Linked DNA regions of Oryzias latipes. Each later gene encodes a partner of the first gene's protein in a complex. Links are inferred from orthologs where the notes say so. Each region holds a gene or a part of one and is shown in the gene's direction. Other genes may lie near its edges.

Region 1 (7,475 bases):
AGAGGTCATCTGAGCGTCTCCAGAGTGGTCATCCTCAGACGCCCCCCCCAAAAGGATTTCCCTGTAAAACATGGCTCCCTGCAGCACAGAGGAACCCCCCCCCCCCCCCCCCCCAAAGCTCTGGAGTCAGCATGTGACGTTACAGCCACTCCAAACCAGGACATTCATGTTTCTGGATGGCAAAAAAATGAAATCCAATTTTATTTACAGTATCTAGCCCAACATCACACCCCCGTTGTCTAAATGGGCTTCACACCAAGAATTGTACAAAGACAGAGTTAGTCATAAAATATGAACAATAGCTAATTGCTTAACTAAACTGACATTGCTGCCCTTAGACCCCGCCCCCCCCTTCTCTGTGAGGAAAAACTAAAAAACAGATTCTGGCAAAAATGGAGAAACCTCAGGGGTGTCCACATGAAGGAGGGATCCTCCCCCAGGACGGACAGGTGATTTACCAGAACTCTTAGAGAAGAATTAACTTATCTAAATCTACAACTACTTATATAAAGTCCAGCAGACGAGCTTCATCCAGATGGAGTTGGGGGGGGGGCTGGGGGTGCCAGACGAGCCAGAGAAAGGATCCACAGCCTAGGACAGTGGCCAACTTGAATCTGGAATCTGGAGGGACAACAATCGAATCCCACTGCACCAAACAGAGGCATGTGAAATGTCCCAAAAACGCTTTTCGCTTGGCGTTTACTTATCTAGCGCCTTTCTACCTTCCTTCAAAGCGCTTTGAGTCAAAGATCCGTCACCATACACCCACTGATGGTGGCTCCGCTTCCACACACTGGCGCCAACCTTCAACCAGAGGCAGTGTGGGGTTTAGTGTCCTGCCCAAGGACACTTCCACACATGGATGTGCCATGCAGGAATTAAACCTGCAATCTTACAATCAGGGGTCGACCGTCCATACTGCTGCACCACAGCCACTTCTGAACGGCTGGCATCGACCTGAATCTGTCACACGCCGTTTACAAATCCAGAATGTTTGACATCAGTGAATTTGAAGAGTTGCTGATGCTCCATTTGAATTAGTTGTTTAAAACATTTCTGTGTTTTACCTCTTCTGCAGAAATGAAGTCTGCCCAGATTTTTATGTTATTATGCTTTTCTGTGTACACTGGGGAAAAAGTTTCAGGAGTTTAGAACTTTGGCCAACGGTGGAAACCGTCTCAAGAGTTCTCTTTACGCTACATCTCCCAGCAACCCCAGCGCATAGTTTCTGGATGCCACACACCTGACTGTCATGTGCAATCACTCACAGTACTTAATCACTGCACTGAGCCTCACTCAGTGTGAAGTTTTGTTTGCGCCAATCTGCCCGCATTACCGAGCGTTATAGCTGCATCTGATCTTCTAAATTTCCTGATTTCCTGATGTCCTGACCCTGTTTGTGACTCTGCCTGGCGCCTGCCCCGACTCTTGTCTGGATCCTGACTTCTCCCGTCTCTCCACTGATGAACGTGTGCTTGTTATCGACTCCTGCCAGCCAGCCTGACCCTGATTTAGCTTTGTGGACATTTAGCTGAGCTAATAAACCTGCTGCATTCGGATCCAGACGTCAGTCTGTTTTGTGACATACGGTTAGAATTCATACACATATACAATACATATTTTATTTTGATGAAAAAAATTCTTTAATTTTAAAGTTTGTCTTAAAATTGGATCAAAGAATATTTTAATCGCAAATGTCAAAGTCAACTTCATTGTCGATTCTTCACATGTGTTCGACACAGGCACTCAAAAAATAACTTGATTCCAAAAAAAACCTCTCACATTTGATTCTGTAACTTCAATTATACGATAAACAACTTCCATTATATGCTTAATATTACAAATGTTACACAGAAGTAAACGTCACTCATCTGTCCTTTCTTGGTCGCCAACCCCCCCCAGCACAGGCAAAAGGACCACCCCCCCAAGCCGAGCCAGACCACCACTCCATCCCCCCCACCACACACCCCCACACCCCTCATATCAGCTTTTTTCCAAGCTGATATGATCAAGCAGCAGATTTCTGTGTTGATTTATGTTTATATTTTTCTTGTTTTTCCAATTTATTAAAATAGTTTTTTAGCAATGCAAAGAGTTATGAAAATGATAGAGCCTAATCCTCCTTCTACATCGATGGCACTCATGTCACCAAGCACACAAAGTGACGGTGAAGCTGTGATTGAAACCTTAAGCCAGACTGATAAATCGGCACATACCTGCTGCCAGAGAGCCTGGACAGGCGTGCAGAACCACAGTGCATGCATGTAGTATTCTCTGCATGTATTCTCTGTGCTAGTGCTTTGCAGATAATTTTTACATCTGCATTGATTAAAGAAATGGGGCGATAGCTTGAAGGACTAGTGGGGTCTTTGTCTGGTTTTAGAAGGAGGATTATGTTGGCTGAGTTCATGTTAGGTGGCATTGATTGGCTCTCATTGATAGATGTGACAGTTTTATAAAATGTTGGTGCCAGTTGTTCCCAGAATTCTTTATAAAACTCAGCAGGAAAGCCGTCAGGCCCTGGTGCTTTACCATTAGGCATAAGTAACAGAGCTTCATGAAGTTCAGACGGCGAGAGTGGAGAATCTAAGTTTGTGATTTGATCCTCATTTAACCTGGGTAGGTTTACATTATTAAGAAATGAGTCAATACTTTGCTCTGACGGATTGATCTGTGGTGTGAACAAGTTTTTATAAAAGTTTTCAAATGTGTTATTAATTTTGACCGGGTCATGGGTGACATTTCCTGTTTGGTCCATAATAGAAGTGATTGATGATTTTTCTCTATTAATTTTAAGCTGATTAGCTAGAAATTTTCCAGATTTATTAGAGTTTTCATATCTTTCAAGTCATTGACAAAGCCTTTTGGATAAGAGGTGAAACGTCTTCTAACTTTAAAAACCAAGTCCAGATGACAGCCCCTAAACCTACTACTATATGTGGAGTGGAAAAATATGTGCAACTATATTTGAGTGTATTTTTTACTCATGTTTGCAAGTGTAGTGTAATGTTTGCTTATTTCAGAATGTCATTTATCTTCTGTAATAAAAATCTGAAACTTAAATAAATATTTAAATGTTAATGGGAATCATGAGCTGTGTCAATTGCATTCTGAAACATAGCAGAAACATTTAGTCATTTCGAGGTTGTTGTTTTTTTTTTCATTGATAACTTTTCATATTCCGAGCTTTTCCTGGTCCCTAAACGCAGCGCATGATGAGGTCATGCACTGCAGCTCCGGATGCCTTAAGTTCATTGGTGGATTCTGTATTTGTGTAAATGCATCACCAAGAGGCTCTCAAGCCCCGCCCCCGCGTTGGCCTGGAAACCGAAGCGCGGCGTCGGTGGAACTGAAAGGCACGCGGCACCCAGAGGCCTAAAACGTTTTTTTTCCCGCCTGGTCGCGTGGGTCCGGTCTCTTTGAGGGTCGCGGTATTTTTCTGGGACCATAGGCGTTTTTGTTTCGTGAGCCTTGAAGTTCGTAAAGCCGCTCGGTTCATGCTAGCGCTAAGCTAGCTGCTACAGACGGAACATTCTCTGGAGTTCTATGCCGAGCCTCAGGTGAACAGACACCTACACGTCAGTCCTGTTCACCTGCTCCTGCTACAGGATCCACTCAGCGTGGGGTGGGGGGTCAGATAACCCACCCTGTGTTTTGGTTTCCAGAGTGTAGCCCCTCACTTCCGGTATAAACTCAATTTCCTGGCGGGAATGACACCGGTGCCTGACAATGCCAGCAGGTGAGGTGAGGTGGGGTGGGGGGGTTGTCCCAGAAATCCCTTGATCTGATTTTTCTGACCTGTACAGGTGAGGGGGAGGAGCCAGCAGAGACCCGGGAAAGATTCAATGATGCGTTTGAGGTGTATACGGAGTCCAGGAGGAAGAAGTCCAGGAAGAAGAGCGCAGAGAAGGAGACGGTGGTGGTGGGTTTATGGAGGGGGGTGGGTCACCTGTTCACAGGTGAGACTGTCTCTGCTCTAATCACGAACACAGGTTTTCCTTGCCCCCCACCCCTCTAGCTCCAGAACCTGATCAAAGATCTGCACCTTGGGAGGGACTCCGAGGACGACCGGACCGCCCTCCAGAACCACAACCGGGGGGCGGAGGTGGTCAGCACCAGGAGTAAGAGGGAGCTGCCCCCCCTCCCTGCCACAGGGGACCTGGGGGCATCTGTCAAACAGGAGGAGGGGGGTTCTGAGTCCAGGAAGGCTTTAGATTCAGAGGGGGGGGGCAAAAGGAGAAGTCAGAAAAGCAGCAGAACCGCAGACGATGAAGACAAACTTCTGCAGGAATATCAGCGCAGAATCGCACAGGAAGCCAGCGGGAGGGGGAGAGACGGCCCCCCCCCAAAGAACAGCAAGAAGAAAAAGAAAGCTGTGACCACGGATGGGGGGTGGGGGTTCCTGAACGCACCTGCAGGTTATTCTTGTGTCTGACACGCTCAGGGTCATTTCTATAAACCTCCTTTCTCTGCAGGAGTCCGCCGGGAGGGGGCCAAACCCAGGAGCAGCCCAGGGGAGGGGGCGAGGAAAAACAAGGTTAAAATTGTAAATTGTGAGGAGATGGGAGCAGCTCAGAAACAGACTGAGTGTGCAGGGGGGGGGGGGGGGGTCTGAAAGAACGCATTATGATGCAAAACTATCATCTTCTCAGGGGGGGGTGGAGGTGAGGAGGACGACCTGGTGTTGGGGGTGTTTGTCCACAAAAGCGACCCCCTCAGGACGGATCTGCTGATCTCACACCCCATGGTGAAGATCCACGTGGTGGATGAGAGGACGGGCCAGTACGTGAAGAAGGACGACCGGTGAGGCGGCGCCGTCCTCCGGACCCACCCGCCCCCATCCGCCCGCAGGTTCTAAAGGAAGGTTCTTGTGGTCCTGCAGCCGCCGGCCCGCCGTCTCCTTCTACGAGGGGGAGAACGTGGACCACATCCTGCCCGTCATGACGCAGCCCTTCGACTTCAGGAGGAGGAAGTCCGTGGTTCCTGAGTGGGAGGAGCAGATCCTCTTCAACGAGCGCTTCAGCCACTTCCTTCAGCAGGACGAGTGCAGCCCCAAAGTCCTGCTCCTCTTTGAGGTAGGAGCCGCCCCACCCAACACCTTCAGTCGCTCGCAGCTGCACCAACCGCCCCCCCTGCTGCGTGCAGATCCTGGACTTCGTGACCATGGAGGAGGCGCGGGCCAACGCCGACGCTGACGGACACGAGAGCGGCTTTCGGAAAATCGCCTGGGCGTTCCTGAAGGTAACACACATGTCTGCATGTTCCCCATGGGGGGGTCTGCGCTCGCTGCACCTTCTATTCTGCACTTTAGCTGGTCGGTGCAAACGGCGTTCGGAACGTGGACAGTAAGCTCCGCCTCCAGCTCTTCTGTCCCCCCCCGCGGGCTAAAAGACAGCCTAAAACCATCGAGGTGTTCGAGTGGTGGAGGAAGTTCCCCAGGAGCAAGTACGCCTCCACCCTGTACGTCACGGTGAGGGGGATCCAGCTGCCCGCACACGTGAGTGCCGCTTCACCTGCTCTGCACTGACCCAGGACGGACCGGGTCACAGGGTTTGGACTCTGCTGCAGGTGGACCCCAGCACGCGCTCCATGATGGCGTTACAAGAGGAGAGGGGCAGTTCCTCCTACAGCGAGCTGCAGAAGCAGGTCTCCAGCAGGACCCCCCCCCAGACGGCTGACAGCCGGCAGCCGGAGCTGAGGTGGCGCCGTCTGCCCGGACAGGTACGAGGACCGCCGGGGTCGCCTGATCACAGGTGTGCACGAGGAGATGCTCTAAAGCTGCTGAAATCCTCACCGTGTCTCCAGGTCTGTAGCATTCCCAACAAGCACGTCCTGGGCTTCCGGGGGGGTCACATGGGCTGCTTCAGCGTGCTCTTCTCCAACGCTGGAAGCATCCTGGCAGCTGCCTGCGCAGACAGAGACGCTTTTCCTGTTGTAGGTGAGAGGCAAAGACACACCTGCACTTCTGTCTGTTCAGACGCTCAGCGTTTGTGTTCTTGTGTGGACAATGTCTGCATCAGAGACATCAAGACCTGGATGACAATTAATGACCTGAACCCAGAAAAAACTGAGGTCATTATACTATAAAAACCTCAGAGATGCTCTGTCTGCTCAGATAGTCTCCCTGGATGGCATAAGTATAGCCCCCAATTCCACAGTTAGAAACCTTGGGGTTTTATTTGACCAGGATTTATCATTTAAGGCTCACATATCTCAGGCGTGTAGAACTGCCTTTTTTCACCTGTAGAATACTGCTATGATGCTGAAAAACTCATCCATGCATTTGTTCCGTGGAGGCTGGATTACTGTAACTCCTTGTTAGCAGCGTGTCCTAAGAGTTCCTTAAGAAGTCTCCAGCTTGTTCAGAACGCAGCAGCTAGATTGTTAGCAGGAACTAGCAGAAGAGATCACATCACTCCTGTGTTAGTTTCACTTCACTGGATCCCAGTTGATTCTAGAATCAAGTTCAAGATCCTCCTGTTAACCTATAAGGCCTTACATGGAATGGCCCCGTCCTATATTAAGGACCTCATAGTCCCTTACCATCCAATCAGAACACTTCACTCACTAAATGCAGGACTGCTTGTGGTTCCTAGAATTAGTCAAAGTACGGTTGGAGGTAGAGCGTTTAGCCACCAAGCCCCTGTCTTATGGAATAAACTCCCAGCTCATGGAAGAGAGGCCGACTCAGTTTCTACATTCAAAGTTAGACTGAAAACATTCCTCTGTGGACAGGCTTATTGTCAGACTGGCTAGTATTTAGAGATTATTTAACTTAATGTTAATGTGTTTAAATTAAACTTAACAACAATAACTATTAGTTTTAAAAGGCTGCTAGAAGTTGAAGCTGGGGTAACTATGGTGCTCTGGGGTTCTGTCCTCTTTTCTCATCTACTTCTACTCTTCCTCTCCTCTATTCTATTATTCATCATTTAGTTCTCCATGTCTCTGTTTGCTGCAGTGATTCATGGACTGTCCCCCCCCAACCACGGCTGGATGAAGCTCGTCTGCTGGACTTTATATATGTAGTTGTTTCATAAGTTAATTCTTCTCTAAGAGTTCTGGTAAATCGCCTGTCCGTCCTGGGGGAGGATCCCTCCTTCATGTGGGCACCCCTGAGGGATCTTCATTTTTTCTGGAATCCGTTTTATTTAGGAGTTTTTCCTTACAGAGAAGGGGGGTCTAAGGGCAGAGATGTCCAGTTTAGTTTAGTAGAATTCTATAACTGAGTTCATGTTTTTGTACAGTTACTGATGTGAAGCCCTTTGAAACAATTGTGTTGTGATATTGGACTGTATAAATAAAAATGAATAGAGTTGTGTTGTGTGGACATGTTTCCATGCATGTGCTCAGGTATGTGTTATTGCTTGTTTGTGTGGATGTTCAGTTTTTCTTGTTTTCTTGTGTTACTTTGTCCTTAAGTTCCCATCTTTGTTTTACCCAGTTTTTTGTGTTTTTTCTGTTTGTGAGTCTGC
Region 2 (7,475 bases), on another chromosome or scaffold:
CAGATAGGTGATGGGAAGTGGGGGCACGGTTGCTCTACGCCAACAGTCACAACTCGGAGGCAAATTTCTAGTGAACTCATGTACTGCCGCTCTGCAGAAGTTATGTAATAGAAAACTACAAGATTTTTGATTTACCCTGAAAATGGCATAATCCCACTGAAGAGACCACCGGGAACTCTCTAATAGTAGATCAGAAGATGAACTGGGTCCTTAAAAGCCATGCATTTCCATTTATAGTTTTAAAGGCCAAAAAAAACATAAATGTCTAGATTCAATCCATTCAGGTAAAAGAATCTGACCATCGAATCATCTCAAAGTTTGTTGAGTCTTTTATGCATCAATTCCTGAAGCACATATTTAAATGGTAAGAGGGAAAGATACACAACCTTACTTTAACCTTCTTACTTTGTCTTAACAGCCCATCAAATGTAACTCAACTAAATAGAGGACAGGCTGCCTACACTTAGATCAGTTTTACTGAACGAGCCAGACGTCTATGTGTCCATCTGCATGGAGCAGAGACGACGCTTTCCAACATTCCCTCTGATGCTACTTTAGACCCTTCAGACATAAATGAACATTCAACAGTTGGTGTTAGATCATCAGAGATTCAGATGGGAAAAAGAAACTCCATTTTAACAGACTTCCACAGACAACACTGAGGAACGAGGGGACAAACACAGGGATTCTTTGTACAGACTGATCATGAAGAGACTTTCAGTACTTGGGACATAACTGAAAAACAAATGACCCGTTCAGAGCCAGATTCCAGACCGTGATAACACCAAGAGCATTTGATGGACTAACTCTAAGGGCTCATTTGTGAGGCAAATTGTTCTCATTCAAGAAGTCTAAGAGCCTGTAAGATTAGCGAAGACCAGGAAAAGGGCTGTTGCTGTGTAATTGTAGTACTCCAATGAAGGAAGCAGAATGTTCTCTTTGTTTTTCTGCCGACAGCGCATCGCTTTAGCTCCGTTTAAAAGGTTGCATTACACGTCTTAATTGGTCAGAAAAAACGTTTACCAATGAAGGTAAATGAGTTAGTATTAAAATAAGACACAATATAGAAGACGTTTGTCGTTTCCAATTGGGTTAAAGAAGCTTAACTAGGAACTCGTAGTCTTTGATAAGATGATTACAAATGTACTGCTAATTCTACATTGTGAAACAAGCACAAAAGAGAAACAGATTTCAAAGGATTTGAATGTGTCAAAAATCAACAGTGATTAGAAATGAACAATCCGTGCCTTGCATACGAGGAAGTCGTGTTTCCTCACTGTATCCCATTTACGGTCTCGCTGTTTCACAGAGTTTTTTCAGTAATTTTGTACGCTGCATTTTTTATTTTACAGCGGATTGTGTTAAGTTGGCTTCCAACTGGTTAACAGCCAACTTTGGAACATAACTTCTGCAATAAATAAGAGAACATTGTAATCTAAAAAAACCATTTGTAATGACTAATCTCATTGTGGAATGCTTATATAAAGCGTGATCACCGCTCACAAAGGAAAGGAGGGCGCATTGGTTGAAGATAGAATGCCATGACAGACAGGGTTTAACACACAGGTTTACTGTCAGAGCGTTAATAAAATAAGTCGTCAGCACGAGATAGTTAACTCAACAACAAAACAAGTGAGTAGATGTTAACGGAGCCCCACGTGTTATAAATATTTATAGTGTATGCTCTATTTCTAAGTATGACTTTGCAATAGTGGCTCTTGCACCAAAACTCTCCAGTGATTTCATTGTTTGATGAAGACTTGGAATTTGCCAGGTCTGCCTAAATTTAACCAACAATGAAGCTCAACACGGGTCATTCAGATGCTGCCAGAAACAACAGTTTTTCACAGATTCATCTTCAGACAATACGTCGACAAACCAAAACGCAAAATTATTACACAGTAGGAGACTTAAACCCCATTTCAGACAACTTTAAAAGCTATTGCAGAAACAAATATTTTTGAAACCTTAAGAAAGACTTACAGCCTCCGTGTGGATGGGGTGAACAGCAAACAGCAAAGCCGCCACCAAACCGGAGGTCTTGTCCAGGAACAGTCGGCAAACACGCAGGAAGAGAACGCACACAGCAGCGTGTAAAATGATATTGAGCAGGTGGTAGGAAGCTGCACTGAGCTCACTGAAGAGGTAGTTCAGTCGGAATGTGAGTACTGTCAGGGGTCTGTAAGACTTGTGGCTTCGCTCCTGCAACGGGACACAGGTGGCAATGACTGTCAGATGAAAGTTTACCTTTTTTCATTTAAACTCAAACATGGTGGAAAGGAGTTCCTATTCTTGGTTTCATATAACAGAGCAGAACAATACAAACATCAAGGATAGCGTGTATTTGCGCAACATGATTAAAAGGGCATTAAAATGTAGTCATTACCTCAGTCATAGGTGTTCCCCAAAAGTCATTAAGAAAAAGGTTGTGAAGAGGGGTTGCGGGCCGGAGGTCCTTGTTGTCCAGGATGGCAGAGACATCATCAAACACAAACCCACATGACAGACTGTTCCAGTAGCATCCCGCCACCAGTCCAGTCAAAAGAACAATCTCCTTCCACGACACGAAAGCCATTTCTGACAAAAGCCGTCATTGATCACTGCAAAGGAGAGCAAACGGGACTGATCATTTATGGGGAATTAATAAACCATTATGGAAACCGCTTAATTTAAATGCGGGTCAAACTAAGCGACCAAAGGTTACTAGATGTCAAAGTGCAGCTGCTGCAGTGCAACCTGTTCAAATTTAACTCTAAACTAAACAATTTACTTACCAAGCAAAACACCCCGGTTTCTACCCCTTTTAATATATGCAACTGAATAACAACAACGCCGTTAATAATTCAAGAACCCCCCAAAATAATAAACAACTACTAGTACTTTCTGGTTCTGCTAGACACACAGTAGTCCAGGTGACATAAGGGAAACGTTGCATGTGAAGCAAGCGAAACAAATGAAACCCATTTTGCTATCAATATTTAATAGCAATGTTTATCATAAACACTGACAAACAAAGAAGATAAAACAATCTGCTGTAACTTGTCATAAGAGTAGATACTTCCACAGACAGGTAGCTAAGGCTAACTAGCTTGATTCCAGGCTGCGTTCGAAAGCATCTGCGTGCATTTCAATGTTACTGCAAAACACTCCGATTTGTGTCACCTAGCTTACACCAGAGCAGACGACAGCATCAGCAAACCCCACACAAAACACTGAGATATCCCAGAACAGAAGAGCAGGATTAATCCAAATGTAGCTGTGAGTACCTGCTAGCGTAGCTGAATCCCAACTACCTCTTCTTCCGGTTCAAAGGTGAACGCGCACGTTCAAAACTAGCCGAAGGCGGCTAGAGGGAATTTGACAAGGTTTTATCGTAGTCTTGTTTAGACCACAAATTATTTGTTTGACTAGGGCAAGTTTAGGGATAATGTCGAATATTCCGTTTACACGCAATGCGGTAATTTTATTCTCTTCTATTATTATACTTTAATGGTAACTAGCTTTTATTTTTTTAGACTAGCTGTTGTTAGCGGTAACCTAGCAGCCAGACCTCAGGAAGATTGTTGTGCAGCTTCAATAATCAGTCTGTGACCCATAATATACATGACGTTTCCAATGCGTTTATTTGAAGACTGATTTTTGACGTTAAATATTTTCTTCTTCTTGGCAGTTTTCTCCCTGAGTACCACTACTAGCTACGAACGGTCAAAAAATGCCAACCGTTCTCGACTGGAATAAGGTTTCAGGGATTGACCCAGGAATCCTCCTTGAATGTAAAAATAACAAAGTGGACGAGGTCGTCGGCATGCTTATTTCGGTAAACTTTCATGCACTGTCTCTGATAGTCCTGCCACAGCTTACTTCGGAAGAAAATTGCACCTTAAGTGGGCTATTTTTTACCATAATTCAAAAAGGGTTAATCTAATTTAGAAGTGATTTAAATAAACCGCCTGTTGAGGTCAAAGTGCATTCAAAATGACTTTAAAAATGCAGCTTAAGAAAAACAAATTACCCCACCCACCCAATTTGATGTTTTGCCCCTTTACCAAGAGCAGCATTGTAGTGACTGGTTAATGTGAAGAGTATCTCTTAACAGTTAATTCTGCATAAAGTTGATTTCATACATGGTTATTTAAACTTAAACATGCTTTAAAAGCCTTTATATCTTCAGAGGGTCAGCTACACTCATTACTACATTCTCTACATGTTCTGTTTTTTTGTTGTTCACTATTCCTTTCATCTTTTACCTCAACCTCCTGAACAACAACATGACAAATATTATTACTTAATATACATGTTTTACCTGATATTTGGGAAAGTAATCATTTCTGTTTGTAAAATTTCCTCAAATGTCCTGTCAAGAGTAATGAGGAGCTGTGAAGATTTGGACTTGCAGTTTCCATGTAGCTCATTTTTAAATTTTTAATCATTTATTTACCTTGTGACGGCACGGTGGTGCAGTGGTTAGCCTCCGGCAGCCACGTATATAAACAGATTAGAAGATAAATGAATATTTACCTTCTGTCTTTTGAAGTTTTTGGATCATATTTTAGCCAAACCTAAAATGTGCGTTTTAACTTGCTCCCTTGAAGCCAGTCACCACTGGGTGTTTTCAAAAGCCTGCTAGAGTCTGTCCTGTCTTTTGGAGTTTTATGTTCTTGTGTGTCTGTGTTTTTTCTATTTGGGATTTAATTTTACAAAATTAGAAGAAATTGTGAGTTCTTACATTAAGAATCAGGTAAAATGTTTTTTTTTTTCTTTTGTCTGAAAACAAATAGTTTTAAAAGAAAGTTGAGGTCCCACTCCAATCTACTTTTGATCTATTATAAAAGCATTGCCAGTAGTCTTAATTATAATTATGCTGTTTTTAGGCAAAATAAAAACTGTGTTGTTTTCAAGGACATAGTTTCTACAGAGTGGCAGGAGTTCATCAGAGGTTTATCCCTGAGTTGTGGGCAGGACTATTGGGGCAGAGTTTGCCTGCACTGATATTCCATTAATCCTTTGTTGACACTCTCTCCTGCTAGCTTACAGCCCCTCACAACCAAAGGCTAACATTAGCAGTGCAACAAAAATGATCACTAATATTGGAGCTATTAATTAACTGGAGAATTAAATCAATGGCTCTATTTGTCTTCAAGTTGATACATCAGAATGTGGTGGAGCAGGGAGCTTGTTGCCTGCTTTTTGTCTCTGGATGCTGTGGGACTGTCTTGGCTGAGATGTCTCTGAAGCATCACGTGGCAGTCGTGGACTGTACCAGTGGACTGGCAGACTTGGGTGGGGGTTCCCTTTTTTCAAGAAGTGGGTGTGTTTCAACTACTGGGGAATCACTCTCCTCAACCTCCCTGGAAAAGTCTATGACAGCCTACATGAAAGGAGAATCCTTCCAATAGTCAAACCTTAGTTCCAGGCACAACAGTGTGGTTTCTAGCCTGGTTGTGGAACAATGGACCAGCTCTACACCCTCCATAGGACGCTGAAGGGTTCATGGGAGTTTACTCATTCAGTCTATATGTGTTTTGTGGATCCGGAAAATGCATTTGACAGTGTCTCCTGTGGTAACGTAACGGATGCTCTGTGAGTATGGAGTTAGAGGATTCTTCCTGAGGGATATCTGGTCTTCTATGACCGTAGTAGGACCTTGGTTTGCATAGCCGGCAGTAAGTCGGACCTGTTCCTAGTTCATGTTGGACTCCGACTGCCCTCTTTCACTGGTTCTGTTTATAATCAATAGAATTTCTCGGCTCAGGCAGGGGCCAGAGAAGGTCTGGATTGGGGACCACATGATTTCCTCTCAGCTCTTTGCAGATGATGCAGGCCTGTTGGCTTCATGGAGCCCAGACCTCCAGCATGTGTTTGGGTGATTTGGGGGTGAGTGTGAAGCAGCTGGGAGGAAGGTCAGCACTGCTAAGTCTGGCCATGGTTCTTTATCTGAGAAAGGTAGTTTGTCCTCTTTGGGTGGGTGGAGTGCTTTTGTCCCAGATGGAGGAGTTGACGTATAGTGGGGTCTTGTTCATGAGTGAGAGAAGATCGGAGTATGAGATGGAAAGGCAGATTGGAGAAGTGTCTGCTGTTAAGCAGTTGCTCTCTCTGTCCCATTGACTGAGAACTGGACTGAGTAAACCCTCCCCTCTTGCGTTCCAAACAGCAAGTTACTGTGGTCTCCAAGAAGCCAAAATCCCATAGACTTCTATGAGAAATAAACAGCTAAAACTCTGTAGGTTTATTTGACAAAATAACTATTCTTTCTCTTCTCCTTGTTTTTAACATGTTCTTAATAATCCTTATTTTTTAAAATGATATTTTCATAATAAACAGACCAATCAGATGCCTCAATAAAAGCATGTGGTGCCCACTGGCCCCTACCTCGAATGTTGGAAATGTATGATCGACAGACTTTCCCGAGCCCACTTTTAGTGAAAGGGGAATGGACTTCTAACAAGCTTACCGGTACTCCTAATTGGTGAGAGTGGTTGCCATAGAGACATTGACTCAGATTGACTCGGACCATTCAATCTACTGCTTGCAGACGTCGTCTGACTCCGACTTGGTGGAACCGTATTGTGAAAAATGGTAACTTAATTAAATGCATTAGGTTGGAGCCGGAATTAAACCATTTTCTAAGGGTGACGTCACACTGACTCTGCCCAGTTCTCTTATTCAGTCAATGGTCGGTTTTTTATTGAGTTGAAAAGCGAATCTCTCTTGTTATCGATCAATCTTTGTTCCAATACTCACCTATGGCCATGAACTCTGGGTCATGAACGAAAAAACAAGGCCCTTAATGCAACCGCCTGAAAGGATCTTCCTCTGCATGGTGGCTGCATGTCACCCAGAGAGAGCTGGGAGTAGAACTGCGGCTCCCCCACATCCAGAGGAGCCAGTTGAGGTGGCTCAGGCATCTGGTCTGGATGCCTCCTGGACACTTCCCTGGGAAGGTCCCACTGGGCAGAGACCCCAGGGAAGACCCAGGACAGGCTGAAGAGACTGGTCTGGGAACACCTTGGAATCCCCCCAGAGGAACTGGAGGAAGTGACCTGTGAGAGGGAAGTCTGGGTACCTTTGCTAAGGCTTCTGCCCCTGCGACCTGGTCCCGGATGAGTGGGATAGATGGATGAAGACAACCTTTAGCTGTTTGGCTAAGTCAGCAGAATGTACCCACTCAGCAGCTTTGATTCTGCCTGCTCTCACTGGAGATCTCACATAGCAGCCCACTGCTGCTGATTCAGCTTTAAAATATAAACAGTGTCTTTAAACTGCTATGAGTTGGGGAAAAATGTGTGTATGTAGCAATAATCCTATAGGCTGTAAATAAACAGACACTCTTGGTTTGACCTCTCGCTGTTTAAGTTTGGACTTTTGTTTTATTATGATGTAAAATGACTCTGCTGTTGGCAGTTCTGCCATTTGAACCATTTTTTCTCCACACAGACAGAAGAATGGGAGGTGAAGGATAAAGCTCCAGAGGACAT
Region 3 (7,475 bases), on another chromosome or scaffold:
TGGAAGTAAAAATGCTCTGAAGTGATTCCTTTAAATCCTTTCATACTCTTCCGCCACCCTCTCCTTCACACTCAGCATCGCCGCGTGATTGCTTTCGCTATCTGCCCATCTGTCCATCATTTTTCCAATTTATTTTTTGCTGCATAAAATGTTCTTACGCCCTAAATCATGCAAAACGATCAGTATTTAAAAACCAGGCAGAAAACACAGGTTTATTCCATTTTTAGAGACAAAAACTGAGCAATATTCAGTATTTTTGAATTAAAAAAAATGAAAATTTTAAGGTTGAACTGTTATTGTTACTGAACAGTTTCTACTCTGGCTAAATGTCAGGTTATGACTTCCATATGAAAACACAAGAGATAACTGAAGGACATCCAATATTAAATATTTAAAAAAAGGAAATTTTCTAGTGTCATCAAGAAAATTATTTGTTTTTAAAAATGGCTGAACTACATGTAACCCTTGTGCTATCTTAGATGACCCCACCCTTACTTTGACGTGTTCTTTCTACCATGACAAAGGTGGATAAAGGTGGAAAGATTTCATGTAATCCATGGACACCAGTGAAGATCACAAATCATTGAAGAAAAAAGGTTCAGCGCACTGTCTAGTGGGTCTAGATGACCCAACTCCCAACGTTAAAGTGCCTAGGATAGCACAAGGGTTAAATGTATTAACGGGAGGGAAAATGAAAAATAGTCCCAGGTGTGACTTCTGAAATTCAAAGTCTTTTAACTCTAAAACTAAAATAATTAAATAAATGCAATAATCCAAAATTGATTTACGTAATATTATTACATATCTCTATTTCTCATACTACATAGTGCTGTCCAGAGGGGTTGAACCCAAATCAAAGTAAGGGTATATTCTGCACTAATAAAAACATTTCTGAATGTTGACTCTGACATCAGAAAAAAATTGAAAACTAAATTTAAACTTAATTTCTTTGATGATACTATATAAATATTAACGAGTTATTTTTCCAAATACTTACTAGGTTTTATCAAATTGGGTATAAAAAAATTAATTTGGCTGGTGTTTTTGTAGAAAACCAAAAACATTTTTTTTTATTTGAACGCAGATCTTTGTCCAAAACTGATCTGTTTGTGATCAGAACTGAGCAGAAAAACGCCCCTTCTAACAGTTAAAAAAGATTGAGGCCAATTATGTAAACAACTATCCCACTTTTTAGAGAAATATTTTATATTCTCTTCTTTTTTGGTGATTATTTTAAAAGGGATCGATTATGGAGTCATTTTAAGGTAAATGATGGCTTCTTTTTGGGATAATCTACGAATAGTTTTTTTACCATCAATTTTCTGGTTATTGCCATCTTGGCAGGATGTGACATCGCAAAGTTTCCAAAAACAAACAAAGGAACAGAACATATTAGCTTCAATTTGGATGTCACCTGTCAATCAAATTTATTTGTTAGCAAAATCGGTTAAAAAAAAAACACAGTTAGGTTTCTTAAAGGTAATCAAAAAAGTTTTCTAGAATGAAAAATCCACCCCAAATGTAAATTTGTATATTTTGTTTGATTGGACATCGCACGTTAAAGTCCAACTCCAGTGGAAATTGTGTTTTAACATGTTCTTGTGGCATGTTTTCTGACGATGGAAGACATAACAAAAGAAAATTCAACTCAAAATTCCAGTTCTGAGTATTTTTTTATTCAAATCATTGTGAATTAAAAAACTGTCTTTTGTGAAAGACCGTATTTGTGATGTAGAAACTACAATGGGCGAGCTGTAAGCTCACTGCTCCGCCCCATTCTGATGCATCCACTTGTAGACGACTACATCCATGTACGTCTTTGTTTTCCTCACTTGAGCTGGCATCTGGCTAAAACTGTACAGCTGGATAGCTCCAATGTTGGTCGCCATTTGTGTTGCACCTGTAATGTTAGGCTGGAGGTGTGAGGGGCTGTAAGCTAGGGGAGAGCACATGAGCAGAGAGCTCTGAGTTATGGGTGATTGGAAGTGGAGATGGGGTTGATTTTGGCAAATTAACAGACCACTGAGAACACTTTTAACAGAGCTCAAAGATAACTGGAGTGGGTCTTGAAATAAGGACAACTTACCTGAGCACCAAGCTGCCCAGAGGTTACTTGATGAAGTGCACTTAGCTGAAAATGGTTTCAAATGGAGTTCAACCGTGACTGCCCCCTTGCCTGTGACACACCCAGCCTTCCCCCATGGTAAGGGGAACTGTGTGATGTAAAAGAGCCCTGAGGATGATGAAGGTGACAGCTCTGACAGCTGCAGCAAAGCCAACAGAAAAACCTTCATGGGACTAAGACAGCGCAGATTTATGCCCTGTGTGGGTGGGCCGCAGATCCCCTTTCACAATTATCACAATGGCTGCCGACTTATTTGAAAGATTCAGTCTCTTCTTTTCTCGCTATGTAATTTGCACTTCACTCAATATTTAGTCATCAGCTTATCTTCATACCTTGTGTCCACTTCCTCTCCAATTTTGATTGCTCCTCTTCTCCGGTTCTTTACTAATTACCCCCATCTCCTTTCTGCCATATATGCTTTTCCATGTTCTTCCCCACATATCTGGAAAATGTGACTCCCTGGTTCATCATTATTAGAAATGACATTTTGTGACCATTAAAGTGTTTTCTCTGCTGCTCCTCTGTTTTTCTTGATCCATTTTTCAGCCACTCATATTTGGAATGAATCTGGCTCTCTGGTGAAATCGGTGAAGGCCTCTTTAGGGACTGATTTCCATTATATCTCTGGCAGAACTGACTTGAACAAAAAGGGGAAAAAAATCTCTGTTCTCGAAAGAAGTGTGAAGTGTCACTATCAATCACGAAAAGGGACTTAAAGGAGGTCGCAGATGCCGGATGGAGGGGGTGTTTCCTGTTCATCTCATCATTTTCATCATTTATGGCTTCATATTGTCACAGAAGGGTTGTGCAAAGCAGTTGCAGAGAATCATGAGCCCTTGTGGACCAGATGACCTCTTTGAATTGACCAGCTGAAAACATGGGCTGCTGCTCATTAGACTCTAAATGAGGGATTTGGCAGCAAGGAGGAGGGAAGAGGAGAACGAAAGCAGGTCAGAGGGACGAGGAGGAAGTCACAGGAACAGGGCGAAAAAGTTGTGAGGGGCCGAACAAATATTAGAAAGGTCGGAAAAAAGAGAGAAGGAAGGAGGTGGACGAGAACTGAAAACAATGGAGAAAAGCAAGGATGGGAGAGAAAGAAGTTAGGGGAAATTGGAGCAAAGGATTCAATTGAAAGTGGTAGAAATTGAAAAAACACATTTGCAATGTATGTATAATTTATCAAGAAAGTTTTCGCTTAATATAAGGGCTCCAAATGTGTAAAAGATGTTGATTAATTTGAGAAAACATAAATCTTTTCATTGATACAAATTTCCTCAATTTTTTCCATAATTTTTTTATTCATAAACCAAGCAAAACGGTAGTCCGAATATCAACAAAAATGACGGTGTAAAAAAAATAAAATAAAAAAATAACAATAAATGGACAAAAACAAGGCAAAATGCCGCTTAAAATCACAATTAGTTTGATACAGTTCGATTAATTATTGTTTTCTTGTTAATGCTTGATGACATCTCCTTATGTGACTTTAGTCTGCGGCATTTAATGAAGCGCTTTTCTTTTTAACAATGCTGTCATCTTGTGGCGGTAAAGGTTCTTATTTTAACGCGCTCTCGTTTTGTTTGACTCTGGCGGGTTTCCGTAGGGAAAAACACGCGTTGCCTTAGCAACGGCTGCGAGTTTAATCAATTTCCTCTTACAAACGGGTTTAAAACTAGCGTTAAATGATAGTTTGTGAAGGAATTAAAGAAGACGTTAATAGATGGCTTCGAGTAACCCGTCGTTGTTCCTTCTTACTGTAAACGGACAAATAGAGGGAGCGAACGTGAGTTTTGCGGCTTTGTCTTAGCATGTTAGCTAATATTTTAGCTAGCTTTAGCCACATCTAGCGAGCTACAGATATTTTCCCCTCGTTTGATTTCTTTTATTACTCTAAAATGTTTTCTGCTATTTAGTTTCCAGAGTATGACAGCCTTTACTGCAAATACTCCTACGTTTACGGACACGACTGGGCCATTACGACGGTGAGTCCGCGTCTATAGCCGTCTGATAGGGGCATATTACCCATAATTCCTCATAAAACAGCCTTTTTTAAAGTATGCGTGGTTTGGTTGTTTTTAATTTTAGGCTTTATTTATTGCAGGGTCTAGAAGAGGGCATCACCCAGATCACCTGTAAAAGCAGTTTGTCACGGACTTTAGTCTGGAACTTTCCTCTGGAAACAACGTTTAAGAGCACCAATCCATCTGGATGTGAGCCTCACAAAAACCCCCACAGACTGAGTTTATGATGAATCACTTGATTATTCAAGGATTGCGTTTTAAAAATGATTTTTTTAAATTGTTTTTGTCTTTTAGGGCCTCAGATTGTGATCAGTGTGTATGGACCTGATGTGTTTGGCAATGATGTGGTGAGGGGCTATGGAGCGACCCACATCCCTATCACACCCGGACAGTAAGTCTCACCTCCATGAAACCTCTTCTTTGTCTTTCCCCTTTAACCACAGGTTGTTGTTTCTCCATAGACACACTAAAACCATTCCCATGTTTGTTCCCGAGCCCACATGGAGACTCCAGAAGTTCACAGGGTGAGGCGTTTTGCTGTGAAGACTAAAGACAGCAGCTGAGCTCTAATCGAATGTTGTCCCCTCCCCTGAGTGTGGGGGTTTGATTCCATCAAAAACCCAATAATGGGTTTCTGCGGTGAACATGCTTCCCATTAATATCTATTACTTCCTGTTAGCATCATGTTAGAAAACCACAGATTGTAATTCATTAGAAAAAAAGATATTTTTAGGACCTTAATTTAGCTGAACCCCACTATTGGACAAACATTCTTTTCCTTTTTTATGTAAAGTAGGTGTATTGCTCCTCTTGTGCAGTCTCTGGTTCTTGTTTTGTCAAAATGTTATAAATTTAAAAGCAACTTTCCTCAAAATTTTGGGGAAAAGCAACATAAATGTAAGACAAAACATTTTTTCATCATAACTTTTTAAAAGTACTAAAAAATCCCCCCCCCTCCCCCCATTTAGCTGGTTGCTAGGGCGAAGACCGGAGTACACAGACCCTAAAGTAGTGGCGCAGGGTGAAGGCAGAGAAGGTACGTGAGGAATCTTTTATTTTCCTACTGCATCAAGAGTCGTTCACTTTGAAATGTGTCCCAGAGGTGCTTCTAAACCAAATCAATTATTATAAAAGTGTTTATTTTAAACCCCCCCATCCTTTTTTTTACTTATTTTGTATTTGAAATGACAAAAAGACTAAAGTCCCGCTCTGTCGTGTTTGTTCTGCAGTAACAAGAGTTCGTTCTCAAGGTTTTGTCACCGTCTCCTTCCACATCACCACCAAAGACATGAAGAAGATGGGCTACGACACGGGACCGTCCAACCCCCAGACTGCTGGTGGCGTGGACGCTTTCTAACACAAGCCTCAAATCTTTTTATACATTTGTACTTAAATGCATATTTCTATATATATTGTTTTGCAGAACAGTTTTTTTAATAAACACCAAGTGCTGCATTTGGTTGAAAGACTACACAAAAGCAAAGACAGTGGAGCTGCAGTGAAACCTTTTATTTTGAAACGACGCAGCTACACCCGCCCTCCTCCATCCGCCTGCTGCGCTCGTTTGTTTAGATGCCGTTAAAATACCACAACGACTTTTCCTACAAAATAAACCCATTACACAGAATGATAGGGAATAGAGAAAAACAGTATGTTACAATAGTACAAATGATAAATTATATCATACAGTTATAATGCCAACAGGGGGGGGAGTATAAATCCAATAAACATTTTTAAAAAAAGAAGCAGCCTGCACCCAGTGCTATGAGAAAGTAACTGGACGCACATGAAAGAGAAAAACCAAGAGTCTGAATATGTATAGAAATACAGCCTGTAAGGTCAGTCGGTCCTCTTTATAGAAGCAGAAACACAAGAGCTCACTACATTTCGCCTTTATTTTCTATCATTTGTCATTGCCTAAACAAATGCAATGATGTTTTATCTGTTCAGACTGGAAAAAATATTGTTTTAAAGTGTTACTCTGTAGGAAAGTGGCTTCCTTGGTGTTTGTTCCAGAAACATTTTTTTAGTAAATCTTATTTTGAAAAGACAAACGTAGCATTGAGCTTCTTTGTTTTTTTTTCTTACTCAAATATTTGCATCTTTTTTGTCAGAGTGAAAAAAACATTCGCTGCAGAGTAAATATCAAACGCAGCTTTAGCGATCCCTCATTTTAAGCCTAATATATATGTAATAGCATAGGTAACCACGAGGGGGCGCCAAACCACTCCGAGAGAAAGCTCCCACTGTAAATGCTGGCAAGTCCAACTGAAGACAGAGCTGACTCAGAACACAGCAGGTGCAGATCCCTCTTTTTCCTCCAATACCATCAGAGGTGGAGACGCTGCACCTACCGGTTGAAAGTGTAAGGAATTCTGGCGCTTTGACGTATTAAATACAAAACAAACGAGTGTCAGTGATATGTGGTCCTAGTCGTAGTGTTTTCTACACACTGCACCCCCAGAAATCACAGTTGCTTCCACTTTGGTAAATAGTTGTGCTTCTAAGAGAGGAGTGTTACACGGCCTACCCATACAGTGAAACAAAAGTACACAAAGTAGACACGACGACAAACGGCTTTGCACAGCTAAAAAAAAAAAAAACTATAAATGTACATCCAACAAAATAAAAACAGTTTGTATTTACTGTGGGATCCTCTGTACTAGCAATAAAAAGATCATGGAAGAGCCCTGTTAGTGAGTATGAGCATTTGTGTTTCTTTGTATATGTGTGTGTGTTTGGGTACTTTTCTGTGTTGGTTTGTAAGAGTGTGTATATGTGTATGTTGCTAAAGCAAATCCTTTACCAGGTAAACTCCTTCCTGACATGCCCTTAAAAACCCCTGGACTCCAACCAAGTCACTTTAGTGGTGCCTACACACACACACACACACACACACACACACACAAGTACACACAAACACAAATATTTTAAGGCTGCTTATCACTAAATTTGCTCCTTTCCAGCTGCACTTTAACTTTTTTTTTAACTTAATTAAAAAAAAAGAAGTCTGGTTTGAAAGTACACTTGGAAGCTAAATACACACACACACACACACACACATTTAAACCCTCCGTAATCCCTTTAACCCTACAGACACATGTAAAACAAATGATTCCACAATGCCTTGCTACGACAGTTCCTCTTTTTTCCAGGAAACAGGAATACTGTGGTTTCCTTTAGAACATGTGGCAGACGGTGGAAAACGTGCTAGCGAGCGTACGGTTGTTAGGATTGGAGCAGGTCTGACAGACCAAACACACAAAGGAATGATGAGTCTTGATCCCAGAGTTGATGTGAGCCGTCAGTAGGAAGGTGATGACTGTAAC

The links.
Region 2: ahi1 (region 1) and cep290 share a complex: the UniProt entries of both Homo sapiens proteins name them as parts of the tectonic-like complex. The link is inferred for Oryzias latipes from reciprocal best matches to the Homo sapiens genes AHI1 and CEP290.
Region 3: ahi1 (region 1) and b9d1 share a complex: the UniProt entries of both Homo sapiens proteins name them as parts of the tectonic-like complex. The link is inferred for Oryzias latipes from reciprocal best matches to the Homo sapiens genes AHI1 and B9D1.

Annotation. Positions count from the first base shown.
Region 1 is NC_019880.2:251,375-258,849, forward strand, and holds the start of ahi1 (jouberin), read left to right. Parts: upstream 1-3,279; 5' UTR 3,280-3,560; exon of another isoform or gene 3,561-3,665; 5' UTR 3,666-3,729; coding exon 3,730-3,739; intron 3,740-3,806; coding exon 3,807-3,922; intron 3,923-4,018; coding exon 4,019-4,392; intron 4,393-4,475; coding exon 4,476-4,537; intron 4,538-4,652; coding exon 4,653-4,803; intron 4,804-4,882; coding exon 4,883-5,075; intron 5,076-5,145; coding exon 5,146-5,241; intron 5,242-5,311; coding exon 5,312-5,497; intron 5,498-5,568; coding exon 5,569-5,721; intron 5,722-5,805; coding exon 5,806-5,938; intron 5,939-7,475. UniProt on the Homo sapiens protein: Involved in vesicle trafficking and required for ciliogenesis, formation of primary non-motile cilium, and recruitment of RAB8A to the basal body of primary cilium.
Region 2 is NC_019864.2:2,331,688-2,339,162, reverse strand, and holds the start of cep290 (centrosomal protein of 290 kDa), read left to right. Parts: upstream 1-3,347; 5' UTR 3,348-3,457; intron 3,458-3,670; 5' UTR 3,671-3,712; coding exon 3,713-3,817; intron 3,818-7,434; coding exon 7,435-7,475. Other genes in the region: tmtc3 (transmembrane and TPR repeat-containing protein 3), read right to left, coding at 1,984-2,202, 2,387-2,575. UniProt on the Homo sapiens protein: Involved in early and late steps in cilia formation. Its association with CCP110 is required for inhibition of primary cilia formation by CCP110.
Region 3 is NC_019866.2:15,983,787-15,991,261, reverse strand, and holds b9d1 (B9 domain-containing protein 1), read left to right. Parts: upstream 1-3,705; 5' UTR 3,706-3,845; coding exon 3,846-3,908; intron 3,909-4,038; coding exon 4,039-4,107; intron 4,108-4,226; coding exon 4,227-4,335; intron 4,336-4,440; coding exon 4,441-4,537; intron 4,538-4,607; coding exon 4,608-4,670; intron 4,671-5,114; coding exon 5,115-5,182; intron 5,183-5,375; coding exon 5,376-5,503; 3' UTR 5,504-6,749; downstream 6,750-7,475. UniProt on the Homo sapiens protein: Component of the tectonic-like complex, a complex localized at the transition zone of primary cilia and acting as a barrier that prevents diffusion of transmembrane proteins between the cilia and plasma membranes.